Linked DNA regions of Arabidopsis thaliana. The protein of the gene in region 1 interacts with the protein of each later gene in a pairwise test. Each region holds a gene or a part of one and is shown in the gene's direction. Other genes may lie near its edges.

What was found. The genes of interacting proteins can lie anywhere in the genome.
Region 2: the proteins of AT5G49210 (region 1) and MAP70-5 interact in a two-hybrid assay, tested with the Arabidopsis thaliana proteins (one large-scale study listed by BioGRID).

The regions. Positions count from the first base shown.
Region 1 is NC_003076.8:19,947,890-19,955,023, forward strand, and holds AT5G49210 (stress response NST1-like protein), read left to right. Parts: upstream 1-1,801; 5' UTR 1,802-2,028; intron 2,029-2,184; 5' UTR 2,185-2,203; coding exon 2,204-2,620; intron 2,621-3,022; coding exon of another isoform or gene 3,023-3,028; exon of another isoform or gene 3,029-3,404; coding exon 3,405-3,575; 3' UTR 3,576-3,824; downstream 3,825-7,134. Other genes in the region: AT5G49200 (WD-40 repeat family protein / zfwd4 protein (ZFWD4)), read right to left, coding at 1-1,166; AT5G49215 (Pectin lyase-like superfamily protein), read left to right, coding at 5,781-5,792, 6,019-6,342, 6,716-6,836, 6,926-7,100.
Region 2 is NC_003075.7:9,654,962-9,663,044, reverse strand, and holds MAP70-5 (microtubule-associated proteins 70-5), read left to right. Parts: upstream 1-3,468; 5' UTR 3,469-3,639; coding exon 3,640-3,700; intron 3,701-3,796; coding exon 3,797-3,882; intron 3,883-4,038; coding exon 4,039-4,104; intron 4,105-4,203; coding exon 4,204-4,374; intron 4,375-4,458; coding exon 4,459-4,785; intron 4,786-4,867; coding exon 4,868-5,014; intron 5,015-5,106; coding exon 5,107-5,178; intron 5,179-5,246; coding exon 5,247-5,678; intron 5,679-5,753; coding exon 5,754-5,905; intron 5,906-6,009; coding exon 6,010-6,037; 3' UTR 6,038-6,393; downstream 6,394-8,083. Other genes in the region: SCL13 (SCARECROW-like 13), read left to right, coding at 238-1,827; AT4G17215 (Pollen Ole e 1 allergen and extensin family protein), read right to left, coding at 6,620-6,897, 6,987-7,161. UniProt on the Arabidopsis thaliana protein: Plant-specific protein that interact with microtubules and regulates microtubule dynamics. May play a role in anisotropic cell expansion and organ growth.

The DNA.
Region 1 (7,134 bases):
GCGATCGTGTGCGTAGAGAACATCCTTCCTCTTTCTTGAAAAGATGGTAGGTCGAAAATGCCAACGGTTCCGTTTTGGTAAGAGCAGAATATTATCGGTTTGGCTTCTGCATCATGCATACCAGAAAGAGCATGAACACTACTCTGTTCTTGTCTGCGAGTTTGAACAACTTTCAAGATTCCGTTTTCAGAATAAGCCCAAACTTTTATGGTCCCATCCAAGGAAGACGATATCAAACATTTATCCCAACATAAGAGTGAAGTGACAGTGCCGGTATGTTGCTTCAGGGTCATTATACATTGCAGGGTGTTGAGATCCCACATCTTGATTGTTTTATCGACAGAACCAGAGTATAGCATTTGACCTCCAACAGCAAAACAAGTGACTTCACCACTATGTCCCTCAAGAGATGTCAAGTATTTGAATGGATCAGACTCAGAGTCTGTAGTAGCTTTCCAGACTAAGATACTACCAGAACTTGTTCCAGCAAAAAGCATTCCGTTTGCAATAGTCATTGCATTCACCTGACCAACCACCCCTGCTGCTTGAAGATGCAAATCTTGACTGGTTTGAACGTTAAAAGCCTTTATAGCGTTTGGCAAGCCAAGGAAAACCCAAGGGCCTTCACTGATTAGAGACCCTGCTTCTGCGTCAAGGTTGATGGAATGTACACACTGACCAGAATTGCAGTCCCAAACTCGCAATGTACCATCAATACTGACTGAAAAGAGTTTATCTGAACCCTCAGGGAGAGCGATCCCCTTTAGTTCCTTATTGTGCCCTTCAAGAGAAGCTACCATGGCCAATCCAGGGAAACAAGACCAAGAGTGTAAGAACTGGCACTGCTCACCCCTCTTGCACTTTCCATCTTTCCAATACTTACATACCCATTTTCTGAGACTAGAAGATCTCATTGGCCCACAAGCAGCATTCTTCCTCGCCAAACCTAAAACTGGTGGTTTCGGTGACACATCATTGGTCCTTGGCATATTATTGCCCTCGGGTGATTTGTACTCTTTTGACGTCCAAACCAGACTCCTTGAAAACTTATTTGGACGGTCGTAAGGGACATAAGGTCTTCTTCTCGTAACTATATCTGTTGCGAAATCTTGCTGTCTCGCAACAACTCCGTGTGAGTAGTATCTCCTTGGCGCTTTGTAATCCATACTGAGAGAGAGATCAAACGTATGTAGAGGAATCTAGATCTTCGATTAGGGTTAACGATTTCTCCAACTCGTTCGGAGAGAGCCAACAAAAAAAGGAAATTTTGAGACGGAGTAAAGAACATGTAAAGAGTAGAATGATCTGGGGCTGCAGAGGAATGGTGTATATATAGATGAGCGTGGCGGTTACGCTATAATAATTTCTATTGGGCTTAACTTTAGGCCCATCATTCGTGGGTCCAATTAATGTTCAATTCTATCATTAGGTTAGGTCATTAATTATACCCTAAAATCTCTGTACTAGTAGAAAAAAAGAGGTCTTTATTCTGTATACTAATTACTAATTAGAGCTAAATCAGGATGAGTCCATCGCAACTTGTCTAATTACTGTTAGCCAAGACCACCCTAGAGTCAATATCATATGTTAACAATGATGTAAACCTTTTAGTATTGAAGGCCAAAGTAGTAATTAATCCATTGACTAACTTCTTTTAAACCTTGAGACAGTGAAATACTAACTCATTCAACAAAAATGGATCAAGAACAAGGAAATATTCTGATTAAAGCCAATGTAGTAATTAATCGACTGAATAACTAACAATTTTATGATTCTGATTAAAGCCAATTTATTCGGTTATATTCGGTTTACATATTTGATTTAGAATGTTTAGTTTTATTGGTTTGGTTCGAGTAGAATAAAATATTCACTGTTCGAACAACAACAAAAAAAATTCCTTCATTTCTCTCTCAGCCCTAAAAAAGCTTCACGCCGGTTTGTTTCACCGCCGTTGTGCTTCTTCTTCTTCTTCTACCTGGGTTCTCTCTCAAACAAACAAATCTCCGACGACTCATTCGTTCCTCCCAGGTAAGCTTCTTCGACCAATTTTACTTTCGCATTTTTCTCCGATTCACAGACCCTAGCTGTTCCCATTAATCAGGATTTAGCCAGAAACTTCTAGGGATCTAATTGTTTTTGAATCTGAATCTGTATTTGAGTTTAACGTTTTGTCTCCTTGTGTAGAATCAGAAGATTTAGTGAAATGGCTTTTTGCAATAAGCTAAGCCGTTTCGTGAGGAGGCAGAGTGAGAATGCTTCCATGATTGGCTCTCTCAGGTCTTTCTCTGCTGATGCCACTCACCATAGATTCCACCAGGAGACTCACAATTTTCTTGAGCCAGAATACTATATTGGTAGCTGGGAAGCTCCGAGTGATCCGAAAGATGCAGAGAGAAAGCTTGCTCAGCTTAGGAGAGATTATGCTAAGAAAGTTCGAGTGTATCGTAAAGAGTACATTCATGAGATTGAGATGCTTCGTGTTGAGAAACAGCGTAAGGATGAGGCTAGATTGTTGGCTGAACGAGCTGCTAATGAAGAGAGGCGACTCTTGAAGGCTGAGGCTGCTAAGGTTAGAGCTGAGGAACGTAAGATTGCTGACGAAGAGTTCAGGCAAACTCTGGTGAGTTCACTTTCTCTCTTCTCCGTTCTTTGTTTATTGTATAGAAACCATGGTGGATGTTTGATCAAGTAGTTGGATTAGTGTGAGATGATTCTTGAGTAAATAGGAGAATGGGTTTGTCTGGATAAGGTTCATCTAGCATGTGGAGAATCAAATTGTTGTTTTCCTCTTGAAAATTTGGAACCTTTTCCTAGTTATGCATCAGGGTGTAGTAGTATTATATAGAAGAGAACTTCAAGGTATAGTATTATGTTTGTGATTGGAAGAGAACTTTAGATTAGAGCTGATGGAGATGTATGACTAAGAGCTTTGATAAACGTTGCTTAGCATCAAGTGGAGGTTTTGATGAATCCTGTAGTTATCATTGTCTCCTTACATTAGCTGTTGTTGTTCTGGTTACAGCTTTAGCATCGTACCTAACAATCAAAAATAAGATGGATTTTGATGCTGGATCTTGATGCTTTTAATGGGAATTCTTTTGAGGGCAGTGAAACTTGTTAGTTAGAAGCTTCCTTTGTTCGGGCTGTAGGTAGATGAGACATCGCACACACACACACTGACCAAAGCAGTATTCACTGATTCATTAATTGATTTCACGTACTTATGTCTGCAAATTAATTCAGAAGAGTAGTACCACTCCTAGGTTTCTATTTCTAGTTTGAGTTCCTCATGTTTCTTGGTCACAGCCTCAGAGCAGTAATGGTCATAGTGCTTTTCTTCTTAAAGTTGTAAAACTGATTCAAGCTTGATTCACTGACTGGTTTATGTGTTTAATAAACTGTAGATAAAAGAAAGAGCAGAAAAGCTAGAGATGTGGAAGATGATGGGCCAAAAGAGGGAAGAGAAGATCAAAGAGAGAGAGAAGCTACTGCGTGAACAGAGTTCACTATGGATCGAGCAAAAAGAACTGGAGAGGAAGATTACAGAAGCCTTGGTTGACAACGTTGTTCTCTAAACCAAAGCTTCTCCTCTGAATCTTTGTTTAAGAAACAATCACTTTAGTCCTTTTGTTGAAGACAAGTCTTTTTTTTTTCTTAGAGAAGAAAGCGAAGGCTGTTTTAGCCTTTTTGCATCAAGCACATAATGAGAATTGTGGTCTTGTGACCAATCTCTTGTTTGTTGTGGTTCTGGTGTCGTAATATCATCATTAATAAGAAGTTTTCTCTTGTTGATTGTTATCAGTAGAAGATTGTTTTTTGGTAAATCATCTTCCTCATTGGTTTCGAATATAATGAACCTAGGCCCAATAGTTAATCGAGTAATGGGCTTAGTAGGCCTATCAGCGTGACATGTTTTGTAAATTTATACAATGCCATGAGGGACAATATTGTAGTTTTCTATAGGAACCGAATTTGTAAATTTCTAGAGGCCCAATAGTTAATTCGAGTAATGGGCTTAGTAAGTCTCTTCAATGTTTGATCGACAAGTACAAGAATCTTTATCAACGGTTCGTAAAAATTGTCTACGGTGATAGAAAAGATGAGGCTGTAACTAGGGTTAAAGTAGATGATAGCCCGCAAAAAACAGAGTCGGATAAGATCAATTTGGAGGGAAAAAGGAAGAGAGGAATGTTGCTGGACCAACCTGAGAGACCTCTCAAGAAAAGGAGAAAATTTGCTATAAGCTAATCCATAAGAAAAAACAAAGGCCGGTCTCATCAAAAGTACTAAACAACACTTGTGTTGTGTAGAGTTATGATATCTAGGGACATAAAAATCTAACCGATATCGAGGAAGATATGTACAAATGCGAAGATCAGATGTTCGAGGTAGATATATTGATGGGAGCTCTAACAAGTGTAGTGGAGAGTGCATAAGAAGTTATTAAGGGAGAGATGAAACCAAAAGATCTTGGAGAGAAGTTCTACAAATGTGTAGAAATGTTATATGGTGGAGATATGTTTGAAATAGTGACAGAAGATCATCAAAGAGTTTTACCTATGATCGTGAGCCAGTTGAAACAGAAACTGCGTCATGTCACGGCTGCAAGAGAGAACTTGAAATCTGTCTGGAAGCAAACTATTGAAAAGTTTTCTGCAAAGCAAAGAGGTTCCACTCCACAAGAATCTCAAGTAAAGACAACAACAATCTGGTTTTAGAATGTAATTTTCATTAGGTTAATATGGTATTGGTGTTGGTTGTGTTTTTTTTGTTTAGCTAAATGTAGACAACCGTCTTTATAGATTTTAAATCGGGTATATAATTGTGGTTATCAGTATCTAACTTATTTTTCAACTAAATTAATTTTTTATTTTTATGTTAATTTGACAGAATTATATCCAATCTTTTAACTGACTATGTCACGTCAATATAAAATCGAGAATTAATTTGGCCGGTAGATTAATCTAAAGTTTTATACAGAAATTATCAAACAAAGTATACATGAAAGCAAATCAACATGTCCAACTTTTTCTGAATACAATTCAACCATAACACCGTCACATCACACTGACGGCGACAAAACAATGAAAAAGACATAATAAAAACAAAACATTAGAAAAAATCAAACACTAAAATAATGTTCTTATCAAAATAAATTTACAAAAACTAAAACCAAACACATGCACTCTCAAGTAAAAGACAAAAAGATCGATTTCAGACAACCAATTTTCCTTTCCACAACTTTTTTCTTCATGAAGAAGAGAGAAAAAAAACGTCGTTTTCTCTTTCTCTCCGGTAGTCCTGTCGGCGATAATATACGTTACGCTCGTTCTTCAAACAAGTTTGTAGCCAAAATGCTATTAATTGCTAATTAGTGGAAATTAATGATAAATATTAATAACGTTATGCTTTCATTTACCTTTACAAGTGAAAAGAAAGAAAAATTAATTATAAATTCTTAAATTGTTAATACGAATATAAAAAAGGCTGTCATTTGGCGTTAATTTTATTTCCTTTTTAATGGAATTATTTTATACTATATGTTAAAAAAACATAATTCGTTTTTTCCTATCATTTCATTTGTAGACTGTTTTCTCAATCAATAGAAAAAAAGGCTTCTCTGTGTTGTTCTCTGTGGTCATTCTTCTTTCTTTTCACTTCTTCTTCTTCTTCGCTCTTCTTCTCACTGTCGGGTTCCATTTGGCGCGAAAAGTTCTTCACTTTTTCCAGCTTTTTTTTGTTCTCTGACAGTTTTTTTTTTTGTTTGGTTACAAATAAAGATGCCAGTAAGTGTAAGTGTCTTTTTATAAGTTTAGTTCTGAAGTCTCTTGTCTTTCTTTTACTCTCTTGTCCGAAATTGCTTGATTCTCGATTTTGACGAAGCTTGAAAAACAAACCCAGTTCGTTAATGGTTTCTGGGTCTTCGTCATTTCACTGGATCCGTTAGAAAAATGATTCCTTTTTGTTATCTATTGATTCCCGATCTGAATTTGAAGCTCTTAGTATGTTTTTATTCAGGTGGCACTAGTTTTGCTGTTGACATTGAGCAGTGTGATTCTGATTAATGGGAGAAGTTACGGCGTCGGAAACATATGCGATCGTGGTCGGAGACCGAGCGAGAGACCACACAGTGTCAAAATCACTGATTTTGGTGCTGTGGGAGATGGGAAAACGTTGAACACACTTGCGTTTCAAAATGCTGTCTTTTATCTAAAGTCTTTCGCTGATAAAGGTGGTGCTCAGCTTTATGTTCCTCCGGGACGGTGGCTCACCGGAAGTTTCAACCTCACCAGTCATCTCACTCTCTTTCTCGAGAAAGACGCCGTCATACTTGCCTCACAGGTCTGTGTGTGTGTCTCTCTCTCTCTCTCTTTGTCTAAAGTCTTGATCATTCTAAAGAGTAAAGATCAGAGTTTGCAGCTTAACTGTTTCATAGACTTCTGATTAGCTTCAGAGAATCCTGTTTTTGAATTGATGTGTAGAAACCCAAATTTGGTTCAGTAGTTAGGCATTGTGGCTTAGGATGACCTCTGGCTCCAATTGCTAGCAAGATTGGGGATTATAAAAGGATATATCTCATTGCGCTGGTTTTCAGTTAAATCAATATATATATCTACCAATGTTCCATGGTTCTGCATTGTTATCAGTCAGAACATTTGTGTATTTGTTTCTCATTTTGTCTTTTATTTGTTGTTCTTACCTCAACCGTGTGAAGGATCCATCGCATTGGCAAGTCACGGATGCCTTACCGTCATATGGGCGGGGTATTGATCTACCAGGGAAGAGATACATGAGTTTGATAAACGGTGACATGCTACATGATGTAGTAGTAACAGGTTATATACATATTTTGTTCCATTCATTTCATTTTGTTTGCTAATGCTAAATAAAAACTCACTGTTGTATACCATATTCATTGGCTTAGGTGATAACGGTACCATAGATGGGCAAGGCCTTGTTTGGTGGGATCGGTTTAATTCTCATTCTTTAGAGTACAGTCGCCCTCACCTTGTCGAGTTTGTCTCTGCCGAAAATGTCATTGTATCAAATCTTACATTCTTGAACGCTCCGGCTTATACTATCCATTCAGTTTATTGTCGGTAAAAATAGTTTGAAAATTCCCTCTTATTATTA
Region 2 (8,083 bases), on another chromosome or scaffold:
GTTTGAGTTTGTTTAGAGAAAAATTCACAACTAGACCTTTTTTTTCTTCTTCTATCACAAATCACAGTGTCTGTATTTAGTTGCTTTACTCTGTTGTAGCTCACTTGTTGTTTTTGGATGTTTTCATGGAGGCAGGTTTTTATTCTCCTTGGTTTGAACAAGTTACACTGTAGAGAGTGATTTGGCTAAAAGAAGATTGATTCAGGAGCTGTGTAGTGTATTGCTGGGGTTTTTCCAATGCAAACGTCTCAGAAACATCACAGTGCGGCTGGACTGCACATGCTGTATCCTCAAGTCTACTGTTCACCTCAGTTTCAAGCGAAAGACAACAAAGGCTTCTCTGATATCCCGTCCAAAGAAAACTTTTTTACCCTCGAATCCTCCACTGCTTCTGGTAGTCTTCCTTCGTATGACTCTCCTTCTGTGAGCATTACATCTGGCCGGAGCCCGTTTTCTCCTCAGGGCTCTCAGTCTTGCATCTCGGATCTCCATCATTCCCCTGACAACGTCTATGGATCACCTTTGAGTGGGGTGTCATCTCTTGCCTATGATGAAGCTGGAGTCAAGAGTAAGATTCGGGAACTTGAGGTCTCGCTGCTGAGTGGTGATACAAAAGTTGAAGAATTCTCAGGTTTTAGCCCCGCTGCTGGGAAGTCGTGGAACTGGGATGAACTTTTGGCTTTGACTCCACAGTTGGACTTGAAAGAGGTGCTGGTGGAGGCTGCTCGGGCAGTCGCTGATGGGGATTTCGCTACAGCGTATGGATTCCTTGATGTCTTGGAACAGATGGTGTCAGTCTCAGGCAGTCCGATCCAACGGCTAGGCACTTACATGGCAGAAGGGCTTAGAGCGAGGCTTGAGGGGTCTGGGAGCAATATATACAAATCCTTGAAATGCAATGAACCAACGGGAAGGGAACTGATGTCTTACATGAGTGTTCTCTATGAAATCTGCCCCTACTGGAAATTCGCGTACACAACTGCGAATGTTGAGATCTTGGAAGCAATAGCTGGGGAAACCAGAGTCCACATTATCGATTTTCAGATTGCACAGGGATCACAATACATGTTTTTGATTCAGGAGCTTGCGAAACGCCCTGGTGGGCCGCCGTTGCTGCGTGTGACGGGTGTGGATGATTCACAGTCCACCTATGCTCGTGGGGGAGGACTCAGCTTGGTAGGTGAGAGGCTTGCAACTTTGGCGCAGTCATGTGGTGTCCCGTTTGAGTTTCACGATGCCATCATGTCTGGGTGCAAGGTGCAGCGGGAACATCTCGGGTTGGAACCTGGCTTTGCTGTTGTTGTGAACTTCCCATATGTATTACACCACATGCCAGACGAGAGCGTAAGTGTTGAAAATCACAGAGACAGGCTGCTGCATCTGATCAAGAGCCTCTCCCCAAAACTGGTTACTCTAGTAGAGCAAGAATCCAACACAAACACCTCGCCATTCCTGTCACGGTTTGTGGAAACACTGGATTACTACACAGCGATGTTTGAGTCGATAGATGCAGCACGGCCACGGGATGATAAGCAGAGAATCAGCGCAGAACAACACTGTGTAGCAAGAGACATAGTGAACATGATAGCATGTGAGGAGTCAGAGAGAGTAGAGAGACACGAGGTACTGGGGATATGGAGGGTCAGAATGATGATGGCTGGGTTCACGGGTTGGCCGGTCAGCACATCTGCAGCGTTTGCAGCGAGTGAGATGCTGAAAGCTTATGACAAAAACTACAAACTGGGAGGCCATGAAGGAGCGCTCTACCTCTTCTGGAAGAGACGACCCATGGCTACATGTTCCGTGTGGAAGCCAAACCCAAACTAGATTGGGTAAGTTATAGTGATGATGGTTACTTGAGTGGATAAAGAAGAGCACAACAAAAACACATCTGTCGCTGTAAATTTTTTAGGATGTGCAATGATGTTTTAAGTTGTAACACAACCTAAGTTATATATGTATACAAACCAAACCTGGTGGTTGTTTTTCTCTTGTAAATTGTCATGTGGTTGTGGGTGGGTTGCTAGTAATGAAATATAACCAAAACATTGATTAGGTCATTTTATGATCTTCTTCTATATATACCGGTATAAGTCAACTGGCGGCTGAACAAAGGTCGTGAGGTAACAAAATATGAGACAAATCTACAGGTCAGATTGGGTTCTGAATTCTGATAAGGTCTTAAAAAGGAGCTCACCAACCCACAAAACCATGGATTGAACAAGTACAGGTCATTGCCTTCATTTTATTCTTTACTTTTCTAAGGCTCAAGCTTCCTTTATTGCCTTTAATAACAATATACTAATGAGTATTTTGCACTCAGTAACAAAATTCAGGAGAGTAATTTTTTGCCCTAACATGTTACTTTTATGTGTTAAGAGTTTAGAATTTTGGATCTATGATTTTAGTTTTTGTTAGGGAATCATATTCATATAAATAAAATATTGCCATTGACTTAATTGTTGTTATTCACCTAATTTCTCTCCAAATTTGGTCATTTACCTCAGTTGATTCTATATTATACTTGCTAAGTGTTCTTTGTCTAATTCTCTATCATTGTTTGATTTAATAATAACCAAACCTTAAGACTTGGAAGCAAAGAAGAGAGAAAATCCCAATTAATTTTTAATAATTCAAAGAGAGATATTGAGTGACTTCCACTAATACAAAGAAAGCTTGGTTTGTGCAATATTTTGCGGTTAAGCTATTAATTGCTGAGGCAACACCTTTTCACACTTTGCTTTCCTTCTTCCAAGTTTTCAACTTTTCTTTCTTACTCTTTCTATTAATCAAACTGCAACACAAAAATCATTTGGATAATACATGTTTAGAAGATGATTAAGCTTTAGTTTTATTTCAAGATTATCATAATTGTTATCTGTTGTTACCTACATTCATATAATCTTATCAAAAACGATAAAGACAAAAAGGGGATACAATATAGGTTTTTATTATAAAGAAACAGGAAAGAAAGAAAAGGGTTTTCACCAAACGAAATTAGTTCAATCATTTAAATTATCTTTATCCTTATGATTAGTGTCTTTATATCTGTCATATGCTGCTTCTCCTTCCAACTTCCTTTGGATTATATTCTCTTCTCTTTATTTTAATTTCCATTTGTGGTAGCTGTTTTATTTTTTGTATTTTCACGCCGTGTCCCTTTAAAATAATATTAACTACACCACTAATGTTGGAACATGAAAAACATGAATGAGGTAATTATGATGATGAACCAAATGTTAAGGACAAGCTCGGTGTAACTAAGAAGATAATTAGTGAAACAGAACAAGTCAATAACTTGTAAGCATTTCAGAATTGAAAATAAAGATAAGGGAGGATGAATATGAATTTAGTAAATGGGTAATGAAAGTGAAAGAAGAAGAGGGAAGGGTTGGTTACTGTCTCAAGGGTTTGAAATGGAGACGGTTGCTTGAGAATGAGGAAAAAGAGTTAGTAAGTTTTTAACTCTCTCTTTCTCTCTCCCTCTCTCTTTTTCAACGTCAATTCCTTTAAGGAATGGCCTCTCTCTCTCTCTGAAAGTGTGTGTGTATATATTAAACGACTCCATTTCTCCTCTGCTTAGACCAAAACTCATCTTCTATACTGCAACAAAGAAGGAGGAGCCGTTGAGACTACAAAATGACTGCAGCAGAAAACCCTTTTGTATCTGACACCTCTTCTCTGCAAAGCCAGCTTAAAGGTTCTTATTTTTCTTTCTGTTTATTGTTCATCAACCCTTATGAGTAATTTGCTTGATGTTGAGGTTGTTCTGCTTTCTTTTAATTCCACTCTGCAGAAAAAGAGAAAGAGCTTTTGGCTGCTAAAGCTGAAGTTGAGGCTTTGAGAACAAATGAAGAGCTCAAAGACAGAGTCTTTAAGGAGGTAACATGCATGATGATCATCAACTCTGTTTGTGATTGTTCTACAAAAACTTTAAGTCAATCTTACCTATAAGTTTTTTTGATCAATGTTTTCCATATTCAAACTGTCCTTTTTGAGCTTCTTGAGCTCTATTGATGCTACTTGGTGTTGTTTCAGCTTAGAGAAAACGTGAGGAAGTTGGAGGAGAAACTTGGAGCCACCGAGAATCAAGTTGACCAAAAGGTGAGGTTTTGCTCAAATACTATAGACCATCTTTGTGAAGGACTCATGTCAAAACATTAGAAATGACTAGAATAAGTTAAGCTTGTGACATGATTGTAGGAGTTGGAGAGGAAGAAGCTAGAAGAAGAGAAGGAAGATGCATTGGCGGCACAGGACGCTGCAGAAGAAGCACTAAGGAGGGTTTACACTCACCAACAGGACGATGACTCTCTACCCCTAGAATCCATCATAGCTCCTCTTGAATCTCAGATCAAGATTCACAAGCATGAGGTTCTTAAGACTATATGTATTTCAAATTTCTTTCTTGTATCAGTGTGAAGTGCCAGATTTTCTTGACATGCTACTGTTTGACAGATTTCTGCACTTCAAGAGGACAAGAAAGCGTTGGAACGTCTAACAAAATCAAAAGAATCGGCGCTTCTTGAAGCAGAGAGAATCTTGAGAAGTGCCCTTGAACGTGCTTTGATTGTTGAAGAGGTCCAGAACCATAACTTTGAACTTCGACGACAGATTGAGATATGCCAGGATGAGAACAAGTTTCTTGAGAAAATTAACCGCCAGAAAGTGTTGGAGATTGAGAAGCTCTCCCAAAGCATTGTAGAACTGGAGGAAGCGATCTTGGCAGGAGGAACAGCCGCCAATGCAGTTCGAGACTATCGCCGCCAAATCTCCCAGCTCAATGCAAGTGTTCTGTTTAGTTTCTTGTACTTCATTCTCACATTTGTTTTAAAGGAAAATCACATGATTTTTTCATCGTTACCAGGATGAGAAGAGAACCTTAGAGAGAGAGCTAGCCAGAGTCAAAGTGTCAGCAAGTAGAGTGGCACTTGCAGTTGCTAACGAGTGGAAAGATGAGAACGATAGAGTCATGCCTGTAAAGCAATGGCTTGAAGAGAGAAGGATTCTCCATGTACTCACTGCTTTTCACTTACACATCCAGTTAATACACACTGACTAGCTTATATGGGAAACATTAGTGTTGAACTTTGTGTCTGTGTGCAGGGAGAAATGCAGAAATTGAAAGATAAACTCGCTGTTTCCGAGAGAACCGCTAAGGCTGAGTCCCAGCTAAAGGTGATTGCTTATGTAGTTAATATTCTGTTGGTAAAAAGTGTAGTTTCTAATGCAAGTAAACATTATAGGAGAGGTTAAAGCTTAGGCTGAAAACCATAGAAGATGGCTTGAAGGGCCCAAACACGTTTTTCGTCTCTCCAACTACAAAGACTGAAAAATCTGGCAAGATTTTAGGATTCTTGACCAGTGGTGGTGGCTCAAAGAAAAGGTCTAGTTCTCAGCTAAGAGGCTCAGTTACAGGCAGAATCCATGCTATGAATCAGCCAATTGACAGAGTTGGGGAAAGTGATGAAATGGAGAATTCAAAGATTACTGCAAACGGATTGACTGATCAACATGAAGAAGATAGCGAAAGGAAAACAGAGGAAGATGGAAATGTTTATTCTGAAGATATGGTTTCAGGGTTTTTATATGACAGGCTTCAGAAGGAAGTGATTGCTTTAAGGAAGCTATGTGAGAGTAAAGAGGGTACTATAAATGCCAAAAATGAAGAAATCAAGGTAACTTCATCATCTTCTTGTGGTTGTTTAAGATCCTCAACTATATGAAACCTCTTAAGATACCTCTGTTTTTAGATGTTGTTGAAGAAGGTGGATGCTCTAACGAAAGCCATTGAAGTTGAGACAAAGAAGGCAAAGAGGGAAGCCGCAGCGAGAGAAAAGGAAAACGCATTGGCAATGTTGAATGAAGAGTCAAAACTATGTAGAAAGGCAAAACTACCGAGAAGGTTTGGTCATCACATCCTTTGTTGTTTGTCTTTGTCTTTTGAGAAGTATACATAGTCAAACATCAAGACAGTTGATATTTATATGTTTATGCTATGTTGTGCAGCCGCATACCCAATCCACGTTGCCAGTAGAGGAAGAAGAAGCTTATGGGATTGAATACTAAAGAATATGGTCTAATGTTAGGTTGTACTGTACATATTGAGTATTGGATGATGGATTATAAGAAAGTGAAAACTAAAGATCAAGAGATGTGTATGTGTGTTATGTATATCGGATTGCAAAGCCATGTTTCCAGATGATGACACAAAACTCCTCTCTCTTCTCCTACCAATTAGTTGAATGTTAGCAATTATCTTGGAAACCTATAAGTAAATCAGAATCAGCTAAACACAAAAACATGCATATTCTCTCTCAAAGTCATACATAACCATATATGTCTTCTCTCAGATTTTTTGGTCTTGCCTTGGTTGTTAGGCTAACATAACAAACTTTGCATCTAATATATATATCATAATCAGTTACAGGATCGTATGATCTCTGTAGTAGCAAGAAGATCCAAGCTTGAAGAAAACATAAATTTTATTATATACAAGAAGAGCATGAAGAACAAGATTTACAAAGACTATCTCTCTTTCTCACAAGAAGTGAGAAGGAACCATATAGAAATAAAGTCAGGACTGATCTTTCCTAGCAAGATTAATTTACAGTCTCTTTTACATGGTGCTCTCTTGTAAGGTGATATTTCCAGCTGTATAGACACGAGAGCCGTTGGAAGAGGAGAGGAGTTGAATACCTCTGTGAATCTTGGAAGAGCATCGATACGGTTTAGGGACAGAGAGTGTTTTAATGATACAAGCCTTGTCTAAGTCAGGAATCGCGTGGAGGTGAGAAGGAAGATCGATGACGAATTGCCCCAACTCATTTGTCACAGCTTTGATCCATTTAGATCTCCTCCTATGTCCAGTATGGCACTTGAAGCCAATAGTAGCTCCTGTATGATGATGATGATGTGTTAGAAATCTCGTAGTATATAATATAAGGAATACGGACCAATCCACTTATTACCAACTGGTTACGTACCATGAATAGGGGAGGAGGAGGAAGAGAGAAGAGAGGCGGTGAGAAGAACAGAGGAGAGTTTTTGTTCGCCGTAGCCAGCCATCTCCACCATCTCATCTCTGCTCCATCTATCACTAAATGCTTCCCCAAACGTCACAATTAATACCAACGTCATGCTCATCAACAAGAACCTCATCTTTAATCTTCAAGGTCGTATATATGTGAAAAACTACCAACTGGCTTAGAAATGGAACAAGCAAGGATGTGTTATATATATACACACACAAAAATGAATGGATTAGTTGAATAAATTAAGAATATGAGATCCTTATTTTGCTTTTTTATAAGTAAAAATGCCTCTTCCATAATTTGACTTTTATCTTTTTTGGTCAAATTATATGACTCCTTAATTATATATCTCCTTGCTTATATAATAGTAGAAATTACTTGTTTGCCTAATCCTTCTTTCTTCTTCTTCTTTTCTTCTTCTAGTTAATAAATTTGATCAATCTTTGATCAATCTTTGGTCAAATATCAGTACGGTATGCGACGTTTCTTCTTTACAAATGTCTTTATTTTTTTAATATTATGTTTCAAAGTCTAACCTAAATTTAAAGTCACAATTGACAAATAATCAAGCCTGCCCCAACTGTTTTTCTTTTCTTCTAGACATTTGTCTTTGTCCCAAAGACAACTTTTTTGGGAGAGTTCTTGTGTGGGTTGGTTATCAATAATCTCTCCAAGGATAAATACAAAAATGTTTATTTGAATGATGTGTCTATGATGACCTATCAATATTATAATTTCATTCAATCTCTATTTATTGCATTTTCTCAATTATAACTACACAAAAAGATCAACAATTTCACATAATTATAGTGTTATCTTTAACTAAAAAGTGCATCAGGCTTTTATTATTTATAGCCAATATATATATATATATATATATATAAATATATAATTGTATATTTCATTGTTATATATATATATAATTGTATATGTCATTGTTATGTAATTGTGATAGTTACCAAGAAGGAAATATCTAATTGTTATTTTTAAAGTAGAGTTATTTTTTTTGTTGACGTATCAATGCAATATATATAGTTTTGTTAATTAAA